2 linked regions of the Nothobranchius furzeri genome follow. Each later gene encodes a partner of the first gene's protein in a complex. Links are inferred from orthologs where the notes say so. Each region holds a gene or a part of one and is shown on either strand. Other genes may lie near its edges. The genes, in order: cnot2 and cnot6l.

What was found.
Region 2: cnot2 (region 1) and cnot6l share a complex: the UniProt entries of both Homo sapiens proteins name them as parts of the CCR4-NOT complex. The link is inferred for Nothobranchius furzeri from reciprocal best matches to the Homo sapiens genes CNOT2 and CNOT6L.

Annotation. Positions count from the first base shown.
Region 1 is NC_091744.1:77,732,752-77,745,128, reverse strand, and holds the start of cnot2 (CCR4-NOT transcription complex subunit 2), read right to left. Parts: upstream 5,416-12,377; 5' UTR 5,311-5,415; intron 5,226-5,310; exon of another isoform or gene 5,093-5,225; intron 3,931-5,092; 5' UTR 3,919-3,930; coding exon 3,805-3,918; intron 3,717-3,804; coding exon 3,647-3,716; intron 3,493-3,646; coding exon 3,345-3,492; intron 3,276-3,344; coding exon 3,093-3,275; intron 3,011-3,092; coding exon 2,931-3,010; intron 2,668-2,930; coding exon 2,542-2,667; intron 2,433-2,541; coding exon 2,308-2,432; intron 2,217-2,307; coding exon 2,099-2,216; intron 1,824-2,098; coding exon 1,667-1,823; intron 1,015-1,666; coding exon 953-1,014; intron 885-952; coding exon 835-884; intron 755-834; coding exon 654-754; intron 552-653; coding exon 407-551; intron 327-406; coding exon 240-326; 3' UTR 1-239. Other genes in the region: lrrc10 (leucine-rich repeat-containing protein 10), read left to right, coding at 8,443-9,267. UniProt on the Homo sapiens protein: Component of the CCR4-NOT complex which is one of the major cellular mRNA deadenylases and is linked to various cellular processes including bulk mRNA degradation, miRNA-mediated repression, translational repression during translational initiation and general transcription regulation.
Region 2 is NC_091750.1:40,061,257-40,073,633, reverse strand, and holds the start of cnot6l (CCR4-NOT transcription complex subunit 6-like), read right to left. Parts: upstream 6,669-12,377; 5' UTR 6,539-6,668; intron 5,545-6,538; 5' UTR 5,535-5,544; coding exon 5,423-5,534; intron 5,282-5,422; coding exon 5,095-5,281; intron 3,781-5,094; coding exon 3,695-3,780; intron 3,609-3,694; coding exon 3,519-3,608; intron 3,429-3,518; coding exon 3,360-3,428; intron 3,102-3,359; coding exon 2,944-3,101; intron 2,870-2,943; coding exon 2,715-2,869; intron 2,637-2,714; coding exon 2,485-2,636; intron 2,407-2,484; coding exon 2,179-2,406; intron 2,088-2,178; coding exon 1,885-2,087; intron 1-1,884. Other genes in the region: mrpl1 (large ribosomal subunit protein uL1m), read left to right, coding at 7,174-7,204, 8,631-8,739, 8,867-9,134, 10,424-10,507, 11,190-11,261. UniProt on the Homo sapiens protein: Has 3'-5' poly(A) exoribonuclease activity for synthetic poly(A) RNA substrate.

The sequences.
Region 1 (12,377 bases):
ACGTAAACAAAACACAGACCCTGCTCAAAACAAGAGAAAGGAAAAAAAACAAAACAACCTGAAACACAGAGTAATAAAAACGGAACAAGTGTTTTGGGGTAGAATTTAAGTTCAGAAAGGCAGGACAGCTTTAATGGTGATCACAACCCCTGCAGTCTAACAGCCAAATCCTGGAGGAATAAAAACCACAGCGCCGGTGCTGGGCGTCAGCTCTGTGTGCAGGAACAGCTGCTTGGGCCTCAGAAGGCCTGCTGGGCTGGATTGTAGTTGAACGTCGTCGGAACGTGAGGCCTCTCTTCTAGCTTGTCGTACTCCAGATGAAATTCCTGAGAGATTTGGGCAGAGTTTAGACTAATCCACAACCAGTACAAAAAAAAAAAAACACTCTCAACTTAGCAGGTCTTACCTTGGCAACTTTCCTCCAGTTAAGACAATCAAAGAAGTAGTAGGTGCCCCTCTCGTAGGTGTTGGTCTTGAGTGTGGGCTCCATGCCGGGTGCTCTTGTTATCCAAACCCGCTCCTCTTTGTGGTACCTCCAGTCCCGATTAAAGCTGGAGACGGGAGAGTAAGAGAATCCGGATTCAGTCCCTGAGAACATCACATCTCCTGATCCCTCTCGTTTTGGATGTTCGGTGTAATAAAGGCCTACTTACAGCTCTACTGCTGCCAGGATCTGTAGTAGATCGCCACCATTCATGTAGTACAGGTAGAACAGCAGGTCTTCACCATACCGGGCCAACTTAATCGCCGCCAACTAGAGACAAGACGGTAAGGAATGTTAGTTTAATGCTAATAAAAGTGTAAAAGTGCTATAGTCGTGCAGCTGTGCATCACCTTGTCCCTTATATGAATGTTGGTCAGATACTCCGAAGGAACGTGGAAGTCTGGAAGCACAGGTACAAGTTACGCTGTTTGCCTTTTGAGTTAAAGCGGCACTGACAATCTGTCTTACCGATGTCCTGAGGTCGACATGGTGACGAGGCCCAGGGAGAGGCAAACTTGGGGTACAAGTTTCTATTGAAGAGAGAAGGCTTAAAATCAGGAGAAGCACACATCCTTAAAAACAAAAACACTTTGCTCTGGACCCCCAAAGCTTGGTTTACGCTTGACGCATTCACTTTCCACGCGGTGATGCGGCTCGCGGATGGAACGCGCTTCACAACTCGCAGCGTGTATGGTTCATGCGGCTTGTCTCTGCGGTGAGCCAATATTCTCCCAAACTGAACGGAGCAGCGTGGAGCTCTAGGCATGCATCCAATACTACACCATAGAAGTAAAAATTACTGTTTACAACATGGCATTCCAGCATTTTTAACAGCGTCCTCGTCTTTTCCGACAGTGCGAGCTATTTCTCTCCAAGAATTTTTAACAACATGTTGATCACGGTGATCTCTGAGAGCTGAATCATACAAATGTCTGTATTTACGAACCTCTGCCATACTAGTTCTTGCCGGTCCGCCATGTTTTTCCGCGTCCGTCCGTCCACGTGGTTAGAAATTTTCCGAGGTGCGCGTTGCGGAAATCTTGACCCGTGCGGAGACGCGGTGGAGGGGCGTGGTTGTTAAAATGACGCAACTTCTCCGCGCGTAGTCGTACGGACCTCGCGGACGCGTCAAGCATAAACCAACCTTAAAGGCGAGCGTTTCTGTGGAGGAACAGCTCTTACTCTGGTGAGTTGAGATTGAGTCCCAGCGTGGTGAGGTCATTTCCTAGCGCCAGATGGACCAACCCCGGATCGGTCTCCGCTGCTCGTATAAACGTCAGCAGACCGATCATCCCAAACTGATCCGTCACCATTCCTGAGGGAATGTTGGTAACCCGACCTGCAGCGGCAGAACCATCCAGACTCAGTAAACCACACATCTACCGATGGACTCTGATCTACAGCAAATACTCACTGTGGAACCAAATCCTTATTTCTAGACTCATTTGTGCACACATCGCAGAGCAAACAATTACACCGTCTCATAGTAGCTTATCCAATACTGATTTAACCCAAAATACAGGGGAGAGAGCCCAACTGCCTCACCCAAGCTGTGTGATTAAGAAGGGATGTCTCAGAGGAACTGGAGCGATACGATTGGCTGTGAAGTCTCACCATCTGGTAACACCTTGATGCCTTTCTTCTGGTTGTTGTTCTGTGCGGAGGCCGTCTTGTCTCCGGGGAACTTGGGCCCATCTGTGCTGGACGTGCTCTTGTTTGTGGAGTTCAAGTTCTAAAAACGGAGAAGAGAAACATAAAACTCTGCGGGAAAGGTTCCTGATCGGCGCCCCGACACAAACGCAGAAACGAGAATGCTCACTTACAGTTTTACTGTCGTCGTTGTTCAGTGTGGTGTCCTTATAGTTCGACCCAGGCAGCGCAGGAAAGTCCTCGTTATGGATGGAGAAATCTTGTGTCTGTTCAGTTGATGGCTTTGTCACCATGCCAACTTAACGATTTCCCAGAGTAAAACAGTCACATAAGTGACAGCACAACTCCAACAGAAGCAACTAGTTCCACTGCTGAGATGACAAATCTTTAGGGGATAATTGGCTTACCGTATGGAGCACGTCCAGCTAGCGGGTTGGACACCGGTGTTGGATTTCCCGTCCCTTCCCGTCGACTCCTGTCTGCTAATGCGGGGAAGTCTGACAGATCCAGTCCCATCACGCTGTCGCTCCCATCTGCAACAGCATGTTAACACACTCTCTATAGTAATACGTACTAATCGCTACTGCAGCAAATAAAAACCATACATTTTGTCTTTAAGATTGATAAAATGCATACATTTATTCTTTTGTTTTCATTTTTGTGCTGCTCAGATTTAAAACCAGACTTTAACATAAACACATTCTACTGCAGAGCCAGCAGTTGTTCACTAACTCCACTGCAACATGAAGCTCCGTGACACTTTGCAGCCTTTCGAAATTCAAAAGAAACTACCCACCTGTGCCGTTGAAGATGTTGCTTGCTAACGCGTTGTTCATCCCAAACGCCTGATTGCGGTTCATACCAAACCCTGACATGCTGCACGGAGAAGATAAAAGACCGGTTCTTCAGCCGGTGTCCACAGAGGGATGTTGATAAACGTAAGGATTTTAAAATCTACCTGCTTATGGTGCACAGCTGACGTGACGGCTGCTGTTTGGGCATACAGATGATGCTAGGTGAGCTGCGGTTGGGGCTCCCGAGTCCTGAGCTGCTCATACTATTGGTCCTGCTGCTCAGCCCGATGCCTTGACCAACCTGAGAGTGATTTAGTATGTTCCTGGAACTCATCGGTAACGTGCCTCTGCAAAAACACATTTAAGAATGAACATTTTGTTGCAATTTTACAATTATTAGTAGCAGAAACACAAACCTGCTCGGCGACGGCGGGGTATGGAGTGACATGGTGGGGACGCCTGTTGTTGGGGTGATATGACTTGGTAGCTGCGACCCTTGCGTGAGATTTCGGTTTAACTGAGGTGTGCTGTTTCCCAAGCTTCTAACGGGGAAGCCAATTGCACCTGGACAAAAAAAAGAACCAAGTTAATCCAAAATAATATTAAATAATCCAGACAGAATTCTTTGCATTGTATGATCAGTCCACGTCTACTACTGATCTGTAACAAATGTGAAACTAGTTCATTCTGTGGTACAAATAGAACAGCAAATACTAACTTTGTGGACCGTACAAACTTGGACCGAGCTGTGACAGCTGACCAGACGACGGTGAAGGAGAAGACAGTATCTGGACAATAAGATTCACAAACAAGAAAAATAATCAGAAAAACTCCCCATCAGATAACATGACCACACAGAAATATGACGAGACTTACATCTTTGTCGGATCGATGTGGGAACATCGACCCCTGGCTGTAATACATTTCATCTGGGAAGTCATTGTCGACGGCCTCGACGAACTCTGGAAATTTCTTTCTAGCACCAAACATGCCTTTTGTCACCTAAAGAATGAGGGAACTTTAGTAAAGGTGGAGACTAAAGGGGGCAAAATAAATGAGACAAGATCATCGAATTAACAACTGGAGTTTGGAGGCCAGATTAACTTCTCAAACTCATTTTTTAAGATATTCCTGAGCCCTGTTTGTCGATCTCTTTCTCTGGCAAGCCACGGCAACTTGGGCGCTGCTCCAGCCCAGAAGACTGTGGTAAATAATACTCAGCTTTTCAGACACACTTAGGTTTTCAAATCACAACATCACAAAACAAACAGAAAATTAATTTTAAGCAGAAACCACCACAAAACAAGTATGTTTCCTGTTAGGCTGTGGCAGACTTTCCATTAACCTTTTACATGTGCTTTTGAAGAACAGTCTTTCAACTTTTTGTGAAGTTTTTCAAAGTTTGGCTTTAGATTTTTATTATTTTTCCCAGTATTTTTTTTCTTACATGACCATTACACTAAAAAACAAGAGAAGCTGAGTAGAAATAAATCTCAAGGCTTAAAATCTACACCTGATAACTAACGTCCAAAAGTCACGTCTTTTTATAAATAAGAACTTTTCAACTAATAGGAGGCTGGGAATCGCTTAGGAGGAATTCAAATATAAATTTAAACTGCCATCTTGATCATTTTTGAAGATCTTAAATACAAAATATAGAAAACTGTTTCGTTTTGATGGGACACGGAGACAGATGTGGCTCAAAAACAAACAATAATTAACGGAAAGTGATCAACTACGCCGACTCAATAAGGCTAGGTGGATTATGAGTGAAAAAGCAATTAATGTTCAATAAGAAAATTCAGAAAGGTTTACGAAATTGTCCTCAAATCTAATTTATTACATAGATGACATTTGAAAAACACTGACATATATAAATGTTGGAGAAATTAAACAATAGTTTAGTTTTTAGCCCAGGTGGTTATTAACTTTCATTTGACAGCTGAATTTGTTGTAATATTCATGAAAACTTAGTGGGAGTGAAAACTATAACAGCAATGCTAACATGTTAGTTAGCCGAAACTAAGTAGCTAACGTTAACATGCTAGGTGTTTTGTTAGCTTAGTTTCAGTTTGTGAACGAGCCACTTTAACCGTGAGAATAGTGGAAGCGTTTACGTTACAAATCACCACGATTTAACGATCCAGCAGCAGTCTGTATTTACCTGCAATAGTCTCTGTGTTTCTATATCTACAGTCAGTTGTCCGTGTTATCGGCTACGCTCCGTTTGCAAGCACCTGCAGCGTTAGCAACCCGCTGATGCTAAAGGCTAACGAGCTGCCACGGATCAAAACGAGAGAAACCCAGCTCAAAGCTCCAGTCGAGAGGTCACGTTTATACAACACCATCCGACAAGACTGATAATAAGTAAAATAGGCTCACCGCATCAATTTCCCTTCGCTTCGTTAGATCCAAGATGGCTGTGTGTACTTCCAGTGGAAAGAGCCTTTACCCTCTGACCCTGCTGACCACTTCCGTACACAAACCCGAGCCGGCTGCTGGTGTCCTCAACCATACACATGTAAATGAACATACGTTTATATATATCTATGTCTTCAACGAGCGATCGCATCTAAAATCACAAATATTCTAATAATGATGAAGATTTTACAGGGAAAAAAAGAAAAAAATACAAATACTGGATTTGACTGTGATGTGTTTTCTGTTACAATTAGAGTGAAATGTTAATTTAACCTTTAAAATAGCATATAAAGTAAAAAAAAATTAACAAATAGAGCCATCTGTAATAAAATTATGTGTGATTATCGGTATTCCTTTTTCACCTTCTTGCAAAATTGCACGTGTTTGTAATTTAATTGCATTTGACTCATTTTGACCAAAAATGTAATCAGTTATAAAAGAAAAGAAAGGTTTCTTTTACCCTGAAGTCTCATTAAATCCTCACTCACACATATAGGGAAAGAAGAAGTTTCTCCCTCTTGGCCTTTTTCCCATCCTTTGGTTTATAAATCTATTATTTAAACAGATACTTGAACTAAACATTATAAACTACATTATTTGAGAATTGTGTTTTATATCTGAACAACTCTGAGTTTTAGTCTTTTTTGCCCTAATAATTCTCAGCTGCTTGTTGACAATTTTTCCCCCTAAAAACTAATTTATTTTTGTTGTTAAATGCAGTAAAAATCATTACTGTTGAACTAATAGTTTATTACCTCACTCCCACTTTGGACAATAAAAGAGCTGCATAGTTCTGAACAAGAACGTCTCTAAAACACTATATAATGTATTAATTCATTGTTTTGCCAAATAATTAAATCAGATAAACTCTAAACACCTCAAAGTATTACACCTTATGTAAGTATAAATAAAGAATAAAGAAAGGTTATTATTAAATTATTTCACTTGAATGCTTATATTCTGATTTGAAGTTTGTATATTTTGTATATTTAAACTTTGAGTGAAATAAAGAATTGAATTGAAAAAAAAATTAAGGAAGATTTACAGGCCTTTTAGACATTTGTTTAATCATAGATTTTATGCTTTTCTAATTCGCCCAAATTAATAAAGCCTTATTATGTTAAAAACGCAAGCATTGTTGCAGGAAATTAACATCTAATTAGGGTTAGAAACAGAATTATCTTTCAGTTGTAGATGTTGATGATTCCTGGTGTTTACAGAAGTTGCACGTTTCACAAAAAAAGGTTTAAAATATGTATTTTAACAGTAATTTGAGGAGAAATGCCATTAATATAATATATTTGTACTGGAATGATCTTAAAATATCATATATATATAACAGTCTGATGTGCAACATTTAAATGTGGTACTCATGCAGTATAGTTGTAATTATAAATGAAAAAGCATGCAAAGCGGGCTGAAGTGACTACTGCACCAAACTCCCTGTTGGTAAATGAGAACAAAAGTATGGTCATAACTAACTTAACTGCATTAAATGGTTTTCCTGAGTGGATAAAGTTCAGTTTGGTCCTCCCACTGAGTTATTATGGGAAGCCTTTTGGGGATTAAGTGGAAGCAGGGAAGTGCTATAAGCAGGGTGCCGGTGAGTGAAAGCAGATGGGGTCAAGTATTGGCCTCTCTGATAAGGAAAATGAAATTCCTTTCCATTTTATCTTGCTGGAAAATAGCCCTAATGAAAGTGTGTGAGATTGCATGAGCAGATCACACCTCAGGAAGGCAGGGCTGACATGCACGACGACACACGATGAGCTGTTACTCTCAGAAGAAGAAAGAAGAAGAAAAAACCTTCAACTGACGTTGAGCCTCTCAACCAGAGAAATGCACATTATCAGCATTTGGCAGGTTTTCAAAATGTCTCAAATGATCAGAATCAATATAATTTATTAATGAATACAAATTGTTTGTGATAAAACTCAAATTCAAACAAAAATCCACCTTTGTTTTCTTTGCTAAATGTTTTCTGGCACTCAAAGAGTCACCAAAAGCAAAGTAAGCTCATCAAACAGGCAGGAGCACAAACTCGGAAGTGAATTCACTCTGATCCGTGCAGAACATAAATTACATTAGCTTCATTTTATGGCATTTCTGTTGAAAAGCACAGGGCCCCTCCTCATCTCTCTCCACCACTTGTGTCATTCTGGAGAAGGGGGGAAAGTCATTAGGCACAAATGGGGAGGAGAGAGCTGGTGGTTGCCATGAAAGTCAGGGCAGAGCTCCACACCACTGAGAGATAGCAGAGGACACCACCAGGGAGTGTCTGCTCCGGGAGGACAATATGCATTCAGCCCATTAAGTACAATAAACAATAAATGACTGCTGGAGATGCTGAGAGGCACGGATATGAACAGAAAGATCCTGGAAAGTAGGTTTTCCATTTCTTTTTTTCTTCTTAAATAAAATATTTCTATAATAATTTAAAAACCTTAACTCAAAAAGGATTTAATCAGATTTTAATCACATCAAAACTGTACCAAATTATTTTATTTATGTAGTTTTGTTACTAAAATTAATATAGAAATAATAAAAGTTTTGCTGCACAGTGGTGCAGTGGTTAGTGCTGCTGCCTTGGTCTCGCTGCAAGGAGTTTGCATGTTCTCCCTGTGCAAGCGTGAGACCTCTCCAGGTTGATTGGTCTCTTTAAGTTGTCCGTAGGTGTGTGTGTGTGTGTGTGTGTGTGTGTGTGTGTGTGTGTGTGTGTGTGTGTGTGTGTGTGTGTGTGTGTGTGTGTGTGTGTGTGTGTGTGTGTGTGTGTCTATGTTTCTCTGTGATGGACTGGCAGCCTGTCTAGGGTGTACCCCGCCTGTTTGCACAAAGACAGCTGGAGATAGGCACCAGTCCTCCAGCGACCCTGCGTGGATAAGTGGGAAAAGAAAATGGATGGATGGATAATAAAAGTTGTGAAGTGTTGCTAATTTCCTTTTTTTCTTTGTTTCTTTTACTTTGATAGAAATAGACTGAATGTGGAGACGGATTAATGGCTCACTATGAAACTCACATAAAGCCTCCAACAGCTTGATCGGGTGCGTTTGTCTCACACTCCTGTAAAGTTGTGTGTGAAGGGAACTGGGAAGGATGGGAAACGCCGTGCGGGGCGTCATCGCCTTCATTCCCTCCGAACGCTGTCAGCGCTTCCTGGTGGGCCATCTGAAAGAGATGCCGCTGGACCGAACTCTGGATCTGAGCAGCCACCAGCTGCGCCAGCTGCCTGCTGCTGCTTGTGTCTTCGATGAGCTGGTGAAGCTCTACCTGAGTGACAACAACCTGAGCAGCTTGCCTGCTGAGCTGCAGGGCCTGAGGAAGCTGCAGCTCCTGGCTCTTGACTTCAACTGTTTCGAGGAGCTCCCAGCAGCTGTATGCAGGTTGCCCCAGCTCAGCATCCTCTACCTGGGCAACAACAAGCTGCACTATCTTCCCAAACAACTGAGTGAGCTCAGGGAACTTACGACTCTGTGGCTGGAGACAAACTGCTTCACCGATTTCCCTGAGGTTGTTTGTGAGCTCACGAATCTGAAGACCCTTCACCTCGGTTATAACCAGATCCGCATGCTGCCAAACAATATACAACAGCTGGAGGAACTGCGAAGTATCTGGCTTGCTGGGAACCTCCTGACAGAGTTTCCGCCAGTATTACTAGAAATGCACTTTCTGGCTGTTATTGATGTGGACCGAAACAGAATACGCCAGTTTCCAAGCCTGTCCCACATGAGCGGCTTAAAACTTATCATATACGACCACAACCCCTGCATTAATGCCCCGACGGTGGGCGACGGGGTCAGGAGGGTCGGGCGCTGGGCCGACAGCTCAGATGATGACCTGGAAGACGATGCGACTAAAGCAGTGAGTGAGATCACAGATGAGGTGGTAGATGTCCAATCTGAGGAGAAGCAGAATGACTAAGAGCCAAATGATGAAGTCCGTCACTTCAGTGGCGTCCTGGACAGGAAACAGTCGCGGTGTAGCGTTAGTGAAGACAGAACGCAGCAGGTGCAGGACAGATTTCTCAAAGTATTTGACATTATTTTGCAAGTATTATGAAAATTTGTAAAAGCAAGTTTGTGTTGTAGTTAATAAACTCAGTAAAGTGTTTTCAGGACTCGTTCACACTCTTTTGAGCCTTGTTCCTTCCATCATCATAGAGAAAAAGACCCCAGCGACATGATCTCAGCTCACGTCTCCTTTTGCGGAGATGAGAATGAGACTAAAGGAGTTTCAAGTCTTCAGAGTCTGAAACAGCTGCAGCACCTGCCGAGGCTAAAAACAGTTAGGTTTTTAATACCAGTGATGGATGGCCCAAGTCACCGAGTGCACTCCTTATCCAGACAAATGCATAATTCATCTGATAAATGAGGGGTATGGTTTTGAATAAAGACCACTAATGGGCCTTAATATCATCACCAAAAGCTTTTGGTTTGAAATAGATAATGAATGCAGTGCTGTGGCTCCCCTGTGTACCAGCAAAAGGCTATAACAGGAGTAAGTGCCATTCAGCAGGATGCCATCTGAGACGTTTTAACAAAAGCCAAGAAAATACATTAAAAGCAAGAATCTGTTTTTTCTTTATCTTTAAGTTTAAGGATTTAAAAAGAATCATTTTTGTACGCTCATAAAAATAAAAATAAACGCAACACCTTTGTTTCTGCTCCGATTTTTCATGAGATGGACTTAAAGATCTAAAATTCATTCCAGATACACAATATTACCATTTCTCTCAAACATTGTTCACAAATCAGTCTAAATGTGTGATAGTGAGCATCTGTGCTTTGCTGAGATAATCCATCCCACCTCACAGGTGTGACACATCAAGATGCTGATCTGACATCATGAGTAGTGCACAGGTGTACCTTATACTGCCCACAATAAAAGGCCACCCTGGAATGTGTAGTTTTGTCTCACAGCAAAATGCCACAGATGCCACAAGCATTGAGGGAGCGTGCAATTGGCACGCTGACAGCAGGAATGTCAACCAGACCTGTTGCTCGTGCATTGAATGTTCATTTCTCCACCATAAGCCATCTCAAAAGGTGTTTCAGAAAATATGGCAGTACATCCAACCGGCCTCACAACTGCAGACGACGTGTAACCACACCAGCCCAGGACCTCCACGTCCAGCAGGTTCTCCTCAAAGATCGTATGAGACCAGCCACTCAGACAGCTGCTGAAATAATTGGTTTGCATAACCAAACAATTTCTGCACAAACTGTCAGAAACCGTCTCAGGGATGCTCAACTGCATGCTCGTCGTCCTCATCGGGATCATTACCTGATTCATGCTCGTCGCCGTAACAGACTTGAGTGGGCAAATGCTCACATTCGATGGCGTCTGGCATGTTGGAGAGGTGATCTCTTCACGGATGAATCTCGGTTTATATTGTTCAGGGCAGATGGCAGACAGCATGTGTGGCGTAGTGTGGGTGAGTGCTTTGCTGATGTTAATGCTGTGGATCGAGTGGCCCATGTTGGTGGTGGGGTTATGGTATGGGAAGGTATCTGTTATGGATGAAGAACACAGGTGCGTTTTATTGAAGGCATTTTGAATGCACAGAGATACCGTGATGAGATCCGGAGGCCCATTGTTGTGCCGTACATCCATGAACATCACCTCATGTTTCAGCAAGATAATGCACGGCCCCATGTTGCAAGGATCTGTACACAATTCTTGTAAGCTGAAAATGTCCCAGTTCTTGCATGGCCAGCATACTCACCGGACATGTCACCCGTTGAGCATGTTTGGGATGTGCTTGACAGGCGTATACGACAGCGTGTACCAGTTCCCGCTAATATCCAACAACTTCGCACAGCCATTGAAGAGGAGTGGACCAACATTCCACAGGCCACAATTGACAATCTGATAAACTCTATGCGAAGAAGATGTGTTGCACTGCATGAGGCAAATGGTGGTAACACCAGATACTGACCGGTTCTGAGTCCCCAGACCCCCAATAAAGCAAAAAAACTGCACATTCCAGGGTGGCCTTTTATTGTGGGCAGTATAAGGTACACCTGTGCACTACTCATGATGTCAGATCAGCATCTTGATGTGGCACACCTGTGAGGTGGGATGGATTATCTCAGCAAAGCAGAAGCGCTCACTATCACACATTTAGACTGATTTGTGAAAAATATTTGAGAGAAATGGTGATATTATGTACCTGGAATGAATTTTAGATCTTTAAGTCCATCTCATGAAAAATCGGAGCAGAAACAAAGGTGTTGCATTTATATTTTTGTTGAGTGTATTTATTCCTTTTACCCAGCTTTGTTTGGTTTACTGTGTTTTGATATATAAGCGAAGTGTTTTTCATCCTCGTTCTCATCAACAAAAAGCAGCAGCCTTGTTTGCTTTTATAAAAAAAACTGAGGACTCCTTAAGTTTGTTCAGTTAACTAAAATGTTATCAGTGTTGGAAAAGCATAAATATCTAATAAGCAAAGTTGTTTACAATCTATCCTTTGAGCATTTGAGGTTTTCTGTCTCATTCCATTGCTCTCAAAGCTTTCTGACAAAACAGAAATGTTCACTCTTCATCCTCTGAATAATTTCCTCCTAGTTTCCTCTGTTTATCTTTCATTTCAAGGCGTGCATTTTAAATTCCAGCATACTATCCCACATTATGTCTGTTTTTTCACCTTGGGGTTAAAATGGGTTAAATCTGGAATCTACATGAGAGGATTAGGGTCACTGAAAAGACAAAAATAAATGAAAAGAAAGAGAATTCTGAGATTAAAGTCAGAATTCTCTTTTTTCTTTCTTTTTTGGTGACTCTAATCCTCTTCCATAGAAATCATCAAACTTTAGGAAAAACTGCAACTTTAATTATAATATGAATCAAAATCATTAGAAGTATCACATGTAATTTGAAAATGAAAACCAAAAATGATTTTGGAGTATTTATTGGATGAAGCAGGTTCCCATAAATCAAAAACACATTAGACTCTTTCTAAGCAACCTCAAGTAAAGTTTCCTCCTATTCTACTATAATAATCAGTTAGACTGAGCTTTAATAAACAA
Region 2 (12,377 bases), on another chromosome or scaffold:
ACTCACCATTATGTCAAGAACCAAACCCAGAGTTCACATTTTAAATAACACACTTCTGTCGCACCAGAACTTCTGCAGATTACCATAAGAGACATTTTAAAAAGGGACTTTCAACCCTCGTCAACCCGTCACTGGACACCGCTGAGCGTGTGGAATAAGACCAAAAGGATCAAGGCATTTATCAAAATGGTTGTCACATGCTGCCCGTGTGTTGTGCTGTCCTTCTGCCACCTTCACCTTTAGTGACCTTTTAAAACACTGAGATGTTTCAAGGAAGCATCAAGAATTAGAAATGTACGAAACACTGAAAGTGTCCAAATGATAAGGTTTGAAATGAAAACCTAAACGACTAATGAAATATTTTCACACTTATACAACCAGGAGAATGTAGAAGAACCAAGAGGACACGGTAGAACCAGGAGAACGTAGAAGAACCAAGAGGACACGGTAGAACCAGGAGAATGTAGAAGAACCAAGAGGACACGGTAGAACCACGAGAATGTAGAAGAACCAAGAGGACACGGTAGAACCAGGAGAATGTAGAAGAACCAAGAGGACACGGTAGAACCAGGAGAATGTAGAAGAACCAAGAGGACACGGTAGAACCAGGAGAACGTAGAAGAACCAAGAGGACACGGTAGAACCAGGAGAATGTAGAAGAACCAAGAGGACACGGTAGAACCAGGAGAACGTAGAAGAACCAAGAGGACACAGTAGAACCAGGAGAACGTAGAAGAACCAAGAGGACACGGTAGAACCAGGAGAACGTAGAAGAACCAAGAGGACACGGTAGAACCACGAGAATGTAGAAGAACCAAGAGGACACGGTAGAACCAGGAGAATGTAGAAGAACCAAGAGGACACGGTAGAACCAGGAGAACGTAGAAGAACCAAGAGGACACGGTAGAACCAGGAGAACATAGAAGAACCAAGAGGACACGGTAGAACCAGGAGAACGTAGAAGAACCAAGAGGACACGGTAGAACCAGGAGAACGTAGAAGAACCAAGAGAACACGGTAGAACCAGGAGAATGTAGAAGAACCAAGAGGACACGGTAGAACCAGGAGAATGTAGAAGAACCAAGAGAACACAGTAGAACCAGGGGAACGTAGAAGAACCAAGAGGACACGGTAGAACCAGGAGAACGTAGAAGAACCAAGAGGACACGGTAGAACTAGGGCAATGTAGAAGAACCAAGAGGACACGGTAGAACCAGGAGAACGTAGAAGACCCAAGAGGACACGGTAGAGCCAGGAAAATGTAGAAGAACCAAGAGGACACGGTAGAACCAGGAGAACGTAGAAGACCCAAGAGGACACGGTAGAACCAGGAGAATGTAGAAGAACCAAGAGGACACGGTAGAACCAGGAGAATAGAGAAGAACCAAGAGGACACGGTAGAACCAGGAGAACGTAGAAGACCCAAGAGGACACGGTAGAACCAGGAGAATGTAGAAGAACCAAGAGGACACGGTAGAACCAGGAGAATGTAGAAGAACCAAGAGGACACGGTAGAACCAGGGGAATGTAGAAGAACCAAGAGGGCACGGTAGAACCAGGAGAACGTAGAAGAACCAAGAGGGCACGGTAGAACCAGGAGAAAGTAGAAGAACCAAGAGGACACGGTAGAACCAGGAGAATGTAGAAGACCCAAGAGGACACGGTAGAACCAGGAGAATGTAGAAGAACCAAGAGGACACGGTAGAACCAGGGGAATGTAGAAGAACCAAGAGGGCACGGTAGAACCAGGAGAACGTAGAAGAACCAAGAGGGCACGGTAGAACCAGGAGAACGTAGAAGAACCAAGAGGACACGGTAGAACCAGGAGAACATGGACATGGTAGGACCAGGAGAAGATAGAAGAACCAAGAGGACGTTGGGTACCTTGAAGTCATACGTGTAGTTGGTGTAAGGCATCAGGTTGCTGTCGTAGGCGCTCTTCAGCTGGAAGCTGTGTGTGATGCTGCCGCTGGAGTTCCCGTTCTTGCCGTTGCAGCTGAAGTTGGTCAGACACTCGTTGTAGCGCAGCTCCTTAAAGTCCTTGTGGTTTTCAGCCACTCCTCCGTTGCTCAGGTACTCCACCACACCTGGATCCAAGAACAGGAGCGTTTTACTGGAAAAGCAACAATCAAGAAGCTCTGGTTGTAGGAGGAGCAACGGAACTCCCTACGGCTGTACCGGAGTCGGGCAGCGAGTTGAGGTCAGCACACAGAACGATGGGGATGGAGGAGGGGTCGGAGGTTGGCGAGCCCGTCGTAACAGAGTCCGAAGCTCTCTCAGCGATGCTCTTCAGCTCCGACAGGAACATCATGGTCTGGATCAGCTTGACGTCTGAGAACTCTGGGTCCCAGTGCATGTGGGCGTTGGCCACCAGGATCAGCTGCCTCTCCTGCGGCGGCTTCATGCCTCACAACACAAACAGGAAATTAGGAGATGTCCTTTAATCACCTGGAGGTGGTTGTCACGGTGACTGCCTGTCCTTACCAGCAGAGAACATGTCCTTGTTGACCTCCAGTAGAACAGCCACTCCGATGTTGTCTTTGGTCATGACTCTGTTCAGCATGACCTCTGACCCCTCCGAGTTGGCCATGGCCACCTGATTGAACTCCACCGTGTGTTTCTGCACCAACGAGAACCTGCAGAGAGTTCACATCCACATCAGAGATTCAGGTTCCCATGCAGCGTTCCCGGCGCTCCGAGGCTCCTGAACTTACTTCTCTGTCTTGAAGAAGATGGCACAGCCGTCCACGTGCTTCCTCTCCTGCTCCGAAACCAGTTTGGCACGAGACTTGGGACAGAAGTAGCCGTCGTAGCCACGGTCCCGTAGCGTTTCCAGAAACAGCGTGTAGTACTGCTCCGTCTCCACCTCCTGCAGGAGCAGATCTCCATCAGGACGTTTAACGGGAAAGTCCGGAGGAAAAGGTGGAGCCTGTGCGTGTTTACCTGAAGGCTGATGATGTCGGCGTCACAGCTGGTGATTTCCTCCATGATGCCTTTCTTGCGGTACTCCCAGCTTAAGGCCCAGGACGGACAGTAGCCGTACAGCTGCCGCGTGGCGTACTTGTCACACAGCACGTTGTAGCACATGACCGTGAACACCGCTGGAACACAAACGCTCGCTTAATGACTCCGGAAAAGCACCGACGGTTCGGGTTTATTTTATGACTCAGACGGGTTTCATATGAATCCAAACGAGTTTCCGACTTCATCTTTTGAAAACGACAGATTTAATTGTGAGAACTAAAAGCGAGGCCAGCCCCCTAAAGAGATGGATCTTCTGCTTTCTCAACCAAAATAGAATAAAAGCATAAAAACATCAAACGTGCTCGGTGAGCTGGTTGGTTTCCATGGAAACGCACCTGTGGGAATCATCTGGTCTCGCTCTTTCAGAGTGATCCACGGTCTCTGAGGGAGCTGCTCCGGGTGAACTGGAAACAGGGAAGACAATGACGGATCAGAGCTCGTTTATCCGGACCTACCTGTGAGAACACACCTGCAGCTTTAGAACGCTGGAGAACCTGCTAGATTGTCGAGCATGTAGTTCAAAAGCTTTCTGGTTCCGTCGGGCTCCTGGTAGATGTTGAGGATGTCCTGGGACAAAGGATTTCCTGCCACAGAACCAAACAGGTGAGTTCTCCTCCTAATCCATGAAGTCAGCATCCATAACCGTTAAGCTGCTGATGGAGCGTCTCACCTTTGAGCCCGAGGGTTTGGAGCTGGAAAAGCCGCCCGAGTTCATAAGGCAGGACTCGTAGAAGATTGTTGTTCAAAAGCAATTCCCTGCAAGGAGAAGAAGCTTCAACAACCTCTCATGGTGGCATCCTTCACGTCTAACGCTCGTGTTCAGGGTCACGCAGGACATGAATTATAATGTCGTTTTGCTGATTTAGAAGTTCTTGCAGAACTTGAGTCCAGACTTCAAACATCTGTTTATGACGTGTTATTCATCATTTTTAACTTGTTCATTTAAAACCATTTTCATCCGCTCATACGGAGTCGGGTCGCGGGGCAGCAGCCCGAGTCGGGAGGCCCACACTGCCCTCTCCCGAGCCACTTGCCCACCTACTGAACTTCTCTGGAATTGATAAGGAACTGGATCGATGGACAGAATCGACAAGGTTGTTGTTATTGATAAAAACTGATCAAATCCCACCGCTAGATACACATGCCCGAAAAACCTCACCAGGAGGCGTCCTGACCAGGCGCCCGAGCCACCTCAGCTGGCTGGGGAGGGTGTGTGCGTGCATGTGTGTGTGCACGCGCGTGCATGTGTGTGTGTATGTGTGTGTTTGCGTGCGTGTGTGTGTGTGTATGTGTGTCTGTGCATGTGTGTGTGAGTGCGTGCGTGCGTATGTGTGTCTATGTGTGTGTATGTGTGTCTGTGCATGTGTGTGTGTGTATGTGCATGTGTGCGTATGTGTGTGTATGTATGTCTGTGCATGTGTGTGTGTGTGCATGTGTGTGTGTCTATGTGTATGTATGCAGAGACACACAGACACACACACAGACACACACTGCAGCACTCCCCACGTCCGTCCTTACAGACAGGTGTGTGTGTGTGTGTGTGTCTGTGCATGTGTGCATGTGCATGTGTGCGTATGTGTGTGTATGTATGTCTGTGCATGTGTGTGTGAGTGCGTGCGTATGTGTGTGTATGTGTGTCTGTGCATGTGTGTGTGTGCATGTGCATGTGTGCGTATGTGTGTGTATGTATGTCTGTGCATGTGTGTGTGTGTGTGCATGTGTGTGTGTGTGTGTGCATGTGTGTGTGTCTATGTGTATGTATGCACAGACACACACACACACACACACACTGCAGCACCCCCCACGTCCGTCCTTACAGACAGGTGTGTGTGTGCGTATGTGTGTGTGCGTGCGTGTGTGTGTGTGTGTGTGTGTGTGTGTGTACGCACACGTGGGAGGGTCTCACCTTTCTCACCCTTGACCTGTGTTCATGTCTGACTGGTTTAATCACCTGATTCAGGGTTTTAAATGACCGCTTTAGCATCAGTTCGGTTGAAACTGTCGGACACGACGGACGACCCCACCCACACTGCAGCTGAGTTAAAGGTCAGGGGTCAGAACTCCACCCACCTGAGAGTAACCATGTTGCCCAGTTCGGCGGGCAGACTTCGGAGCTTATTGGATGACAGGTTCAGGTAGACCAGGTTGGGCAGCTTGGCGATGTCCGGTGGGATACGAGTCAGGTTGTTGTCGTTGATGTGGAGCGCCGTCAGGTGGGTGAGGGTCCATAACGAGCTGCTCAGGCTCCGCACCCTTCCTGTGTAGGTGGCGGAGCTTCATTTTACTAACATTTCTGAACACAGTGGGCCAAACTGACCCCGACACTGAAAACATGGACAAGACTTTCTCTGGATATAACGTCCAGAGTGTGTTTTACTGGAAGTAAATGCAGACTGACCAGAGATCTCCAGCTCAGCCCAGTGAGACTTCTTCCCACCAGCCGCCTCCTCAGCTGACATGATGGTGTAACATCTGCGGGGATCTAGGGGGTCATATTTCTCCTTTGGCATTCCTGTTAATCTGCAGGACAAACCAGGAGCACGAGTTATCGTGGCAATCGTAAAAGAAAACACCAACTTTTATTTCAAGCACTAAAAAAATGTGGAAAACAAGAGAAGAACAATTTATAAGAAACTCAAAGGTTTAAAAAAAAGCTCGAGGCGTTTTTTAGTTAATGATGACGGAAGCAAACTGCTCATTTTTCTCAGGAGGTTTCACCTGCTGAGGAGCAACAAAACCACTGAAACCAGAACAAACCAGCAGAACATTTGATCAGTGATTACAGTTTTAATCAGAAGTTATCCACATAAAGAAAAGTCATCCAGAGGACTTCCTGCACTTGTAGGATGATCGTCGTAGAACCTCATCTTTAAACGTTCCTGTGGATCTACAGCCTGATTACTTCAGAATGGTGAGTTACAGCAAATACGTTCAGGGCCTTTGGGTGAGGTGGGTTCAGGCGCAGCAGGTCACAAGTGTCTGCAGACACCATCACAACTCCAACAGGTCATGTTGCCTCAGGAGCTGAAAGAGGGCCGTGTGTGTGTGTGTGTGTGTGTGTGTGTGTGTGTGTGTGTGTGTGTGTGTGTGTGTGTGTGTGTGTGTGTGTGTGTGTGTGTGTGTGTGTTGGAAAGTATGCAGCAGTGACAACTGCTCAGGCAGCTGAGGGACGAGTGTCCAAACATAGCTGTGGTGTCAAAAGTGACAAGAGGACAGGCCCGCTCACCAGCTGCTGGCACACCTGACACCAAGGTAAACACGCGCTCCGATTCGACACCTTCCACGGATGTCAGCGACACATTTACCTATGCAGCAAAGACCGGTCACGGTAACCGACCAGCGCTCCCGAAGCACGGGGCTGGAGTAAGTCAGCCAGCGGCGGCTGGGCGCATGCTCCCCGGGCTCCAGGGGCTTAGGGTGGGGGACACGACCGGACAAGGACCGAGTCGGGCTCTAAGCTGGTTTAGCGCCGAGCCGCCCGGGCGAACCGGCTCTAGATACAAAACGTGTTTACCTTCATCCGGGGGCTGTAGAAGGGAACTGGCAGCGACATGCAGGCGCGGGTTCAACCCTGAACGTCTCGGAAACAGAAGGAAGAACAACAAACGCGGCTTCCGCTCGTTACCGACAGTCCAGAGCGCGGTCGTGCACGCGCCTACTAGCTTCTTAGCATAAATCCCAAACGAAACTTTACAAATATGCTCATTTATTAATTGTTAATAAGTGACACATATTACGCTAAAGTTTGATACTAAACATGTGAAGGACACGTGCTAGCTGGTTAAACTCGTCATCTGTGACGTGTAGCTGACGTCACTTTATTTGACAAAAACCCGATGCAAAAACCAGAGATTCGGCATTATTTTTATTTGTTTATCTTATGCTTGCAATTCATTCATTTTGCCACTTTACACGATTTTAACATCAACATTTACTTCTAATCACACCTTAAAACAAATACTGAACTCGATCATTTAAATCAGTGAATCTTTAACATTAGATGAGATTTTAGAAACGTTTTTAAACGGTTTCCTGTAATGTAAACTGGTTAAGTTAGAGCCGACCTTTTAAAAATAAATATGTGTGTTTGTGCGGAACCATTGAGCGAACTGCTGTTTTTACACGGACAACGGACCACCAGAAGCAGACATGGCAACCTGCTCGCGGGCAGCTTGGAAAGGTCAGTGAAATTAGTTTCTCATCCAGGAAAAACGGTAAATTCATGAATGTTATTTTTTTGTTTCCGGTTGGGTTATTTTCTGTAGATTAGCGTTTTAGCTGCCCTGCTATCTGTTTCCGGTTAGTGTGTCCTGAGCCTAAACGCTCACAGAGGTTACGGAAACATGTTTTCCATCAACGTGTGGTTGCAAACTGGAGCCCCTCTGTTATGCTAATTAACTTTAGCTCACATCGTTTTCAGGAAGGTGAAAAAGTCTAACTTTTCTAGCGTCTTCTCCTGTGTTTACCCACCTGTCCGTCAGTCACATGTAACTACCATCATTTTGGCAAATATCCCACCTAGGCTCCCGTGTCTGTCTGAAACACAGGAGTCCTGATGGTTGAACCCCCCTCTGTCCGTGCGGCTCGCGCTGCTTTTTACACCTTTAGTGGTGTTGGACACGTGTTTACGGTGGGTTAACCGGGGTTAATGGTCAAACCAGTTGTTACCTGTAACCCTACTCCTCCGGTGTGGCCCTGGCCACCCTTTTGGGGAGCCACTGCTATTATTGTAACCTCCAACCACTAAAAACAACAAATAAAGGAAACATGTGTTTCCAGAACTATGCAGCGTACAGTAAGAGACACGAACGTACTGCGTACATCTGGTATTGAACACACACACTGAGTATTGCATTGGTGGTGTTGTGTACCAGGATAATGCCAGTACCAGTTAAACTGGGGAATCCTACACTTGCTGCTGAGGGGATGAATGACCTACGGTAGCGTTCAGTTCTACATCTGGGATGCCTGTAAAGGAGCTGTCCATGGTCTCCACAGTGGGGGCGGGGAGGGGCTTTTTAAGGGGGAGGTCATCTTCCCCAGCATCCTCCTTTCACACCTCTCCTCAGCTGCATCCAGTGGGTGACCCAGTATGGAACAAACTGGTCCAGATTAGACCCGTTTATAAGGTTTTAATTAATTAAAACTTGTTTACATGTTAAAAGAAAGCTGTGATTGGTAGTAGTCTTGGTCTTAAACCAAGAAGCTACCTTGAAAACTTTAAATCGAGCCTAAATGTCCATTTTTGAGGGCATTTTTCAGCTGTTGGAGTGAATTTAGAGCCAACATCAAGCTTCTGAGAGGTGCGCGAGCGGCCACCCTCATCAAACCTTCTTTCATCAAGCTTTAGCTTCAAGTTAAACAGGACCCGGGGGTCTTTTGTTCCTTTGATGATTTATTATTTACACCTTATTTTGAACAGAAGACGTTGTACGGCAGCCAAAGAAGCTGCTGTATCATTTGAGCTGCTACTTACTCAGAAATGCAGTTTTTAAATGTGTAAAAAGTTGCTAGAATATGAAGTGTTTCATGTTAGGAGGATGACACAGAAACAGAGGTTAAATCTCAGGATTAGATGTAAATAAACCCTTGTGTGTTTAATCCAGCTTTAGCAGGATGTCGGAGGCAGCTGCTGAGTTCCAGCGCTCCGGGTTATGCTGCTGCATCGCAGACCGCACCGAAGAGTTCACCCATCAGGACTTTTGCTGCGTTTAAGTAAGTTCACATCCAGTGTTTTCTTTTTGCTTCAAGCCAGCCTGGTCGGTGTTTGCTGCTGAATACATATGTTTTTCTGCATGACCCAATCCTTCCTCGGCCTAACTCCCCTCCTGCTGATTGTCAGGGCGCTAAAGAAACGCAAGTCAGAGGATGCAAAGAAGGAGGTGAAGAAAGAGTGGAGGGTCATCGATGACACAGGCAGACACAAGCCTTATGGGAAGACGGCGTGGGCTCCCGTAGACGATGTGTACATTAAGAAGTTTTATCCCAGAAGCGTCCACAGTGCAGCTTCTGCCATCGACATGCTGAAGAGGTTCCAGGAGTTGGACTTCACTCCGTCCAACCAGCCCGTTTATGTCAACCTGAAGCTGGACATGCAACTGGAGAAAAAGGTGACGGTAAAAGTTTTAGTCACCTGTGGTTGTTCTACATGAACTCTGGTTCTCTGCTGCTGGAGGACCAGATTCTCTTTTCTTCATAGCTTTTGATGAGTTTTGTTTCTCGAAGGTTCTTCTTGGAGTTTTCGTATCAGAGTTTTTTTATATCCGCCACAGATCTCTCTGAAGAACTCACAACATTGACGGCTTCAGCACTGCTGTGCCACTCTGTGGATTTTCTCTTATTTGTTTAGCAAAAGCACTTCCTTTCATTCCTCCACCTCACCCACAAGTACCTCAACTTCTGCGTCTGTGGAAAAGCACTTCCTTGATCTGCGGTCGCCATCATTAATGGTGGAGCGCTGCAGCGAGCCGGCTTATGTATATGCATGAGATCCTCAAGACGCTTTGCATTGACCATTTATGGCAGAAAGTGGGCGTGGTGAGGGTGGGATGTGGCTCAGAAACAGCTAAGAACCTTTCTAGGTAGAGTGATTTAGAAAGCGGAGAGTGCATGCAGCTGTGTGTACTCCATGTTTTATAGATCGCATACCTACTTGGCGTAAGTACATTTTTTTTGCTGAGCTGAAGTACGGTTTTAGTACGGATTCTAGTAACGTTTTATAGATGAGACCCCTGAGGCGTCTGAGTCTTTGTACGCTGAGCAGTTCAGTCAGCTAAAAACGCTGTGACACATCACAGGGCTGCAGACGGTCCTCCGAGAGCATCTCTGTCTCCTCATTGGTTTCCATAGAGCCAACGCTCCCACATGTAGGAAGTCATCAATTTCACAGAGATTCAGGTTTCAAATGCTGCAAGATAACCGTTATCCAGTAGGGATGCACCGATACGATACTGGTATCGGTATCTGTATCGGTGCCGATGCAGTATCGGTAAAAGTTAACAGATACCAGTAACTGATACCAATGCAGTTGCTTGAAAGTGACTTCACTGTAACTTGTCATTTCTGTTCACCTAATATTTTAGTTTTGTGATCACTTATATTACTTTTTATCTACCTCACAGTCTTTTCCTATTGAAAACAGAGAAGAAAATAAAGGCTGTATTGCAATTCATTGCATTTTTTTGTGTGGTAGAAGTATCTGTATCGGTATCGGCGAGTACTCAGATCCAAGTATCGGTTTAGAAACAAGTGGTATCGTTGCATCGCTATTATCTAGTGTGGCGTTTGACTGACGTTCCCTCCTTCATGTTTTCCTCCCAAGCTTTGATCTTCCTGCAGCTTGCTGACTGTTCCCAACAACAACAACAACAAACATCCTTCCTGTTTCTGTCTCCCACAGAAAAAAGTCGACCCGTTTGTCAGCGTCGTTCACTTACCACACCCCTTCAGGACAGACCCCAACAAAGTTTTAGTTTTCACCGAGGTAAACACTTTCCTCTCCCAACCCGCACTTCATCTTCGCAACCGCCGTGTGTGTGTGTGTGTGTGTGTGTATGTATACATACATATGTATGTATGTATAAACACACACACATATATATACATATATACATATATATATATATAAATATATATAGGTATGTGTGTGTGTATACATACATATATATGTCTGTATAAATGTATGTCTGTGTATATATATATATATATATATATATATATATATATATATATATATATATATATATATATATATATACAGACATACATTTATACAGACATATATATGTATGTATACACACACACATACCTATATATATATATATATATATATATATATATATATATATACAGACATACATATATACAGACATATATATGTATGTATACACACACATACCTATATATATTTATATATATATATGTATATATGTATATATATGTGTGTGTGTTTATACATACATACATATATATATATATATACACACACACGATTGTGTGTTTCTGCTGTTGATGAATTGGGCGTGTCCCTTGTCCGTTGTTGGTGTTGCCCCCGGCTGCTGTTGTGATTAAATGATTTCTATTCATACCACGTGTCACACATAGTGTGATTATTTTAGATAATTCACCTAAGCCAGGTTGAAAGACCCCTCCCTCCATCTCTGCAGGACCCGAAGCAGGCCACAGCTGCCCAGGAGAACGGAGCAACGATTGTTGGAGGAGCCGAGCTCGTTCAGCTGGTCAGTTCTTCAGTTAAGTTTTAATTTTAATTTCTGTTCTAAACAATCACAAAAATTATTACCGTAGTGACACGAATATAAGACGACTCCCCTTTCCAAGACTAATCTTCAGGAAAGGACAAAAAAAACAAATCACTGTTTAAATAAACTATTTTTATATAAAATTTGAGAACATGTACTGAGAAAAATACTATTTCAATGCTAACTATCAGAACTTTGCTGACGTGTGAAATCAAAAGTCAGATGAGGCTTTTGTTCAGATGCCCTCTGCCTCGCTGTACACTCTCATGCAGCTGCGGTCCCCGGTGCACCATCACATCCCCACACCTGCTGGCTCCTCCCAGAACATCATCCTCACTGCCTTCCAGTACATCCATGCATGTGATGTTTTACACCTCTGCTGAACTGGCCACCGTCGTTACTCTGCCTTAGTATGCTAACTTGCCCCACTAAAAGTCTACTCTGCTCTGGACTTCTCGGCTCCAGTTTTTACTCCTGTGGAGAATACTCAGCCTGGCGCCCTCTGCTGTTACGGGCGTGTAATGGTTAGACCCTGATTATATGGAGACCCCACATTTTAAAATTATTTTCAATGAAAAAAAACTGTAGCAATTAACACATATTAATTATGACCAATAAGATGTGATTTTCCGTATAAGTATGAAATATCAACCTGATTGATCTTTGAATGTGTGTGAATGTGTGTGTGAATGGATGAATGATACACTGTAGTGTAAAGCGCTTTGGAGTCCTTACTCTATACAAGTGCGGGTCATTTATCATTTACCAATGTTTAACCAGAAGATTCTAGGGTTCTTTGCTTCTTCAGGGACCATAAACACACTTCGTATTAATTCAGACAGAGTCAGGATGCAGTTTATAAAATTAATTTAATTATTTTTCCTAAACTAATAATTAATACATGACAAGATATGAATAATGTGAGGTGGTGTGGTGGAAGCTAGATGTTGTAGCAACTAGGGCTGGGCGATATGGCCTCAAATCTATATTGCGATATAATCTGAAGCATGTGCGGTAACGATATATGTTGCGATATGTTTTTCCCTCTGTTTATATATGTCAAAGTGACATGCTTTTAAATATCCTCATGTGGCA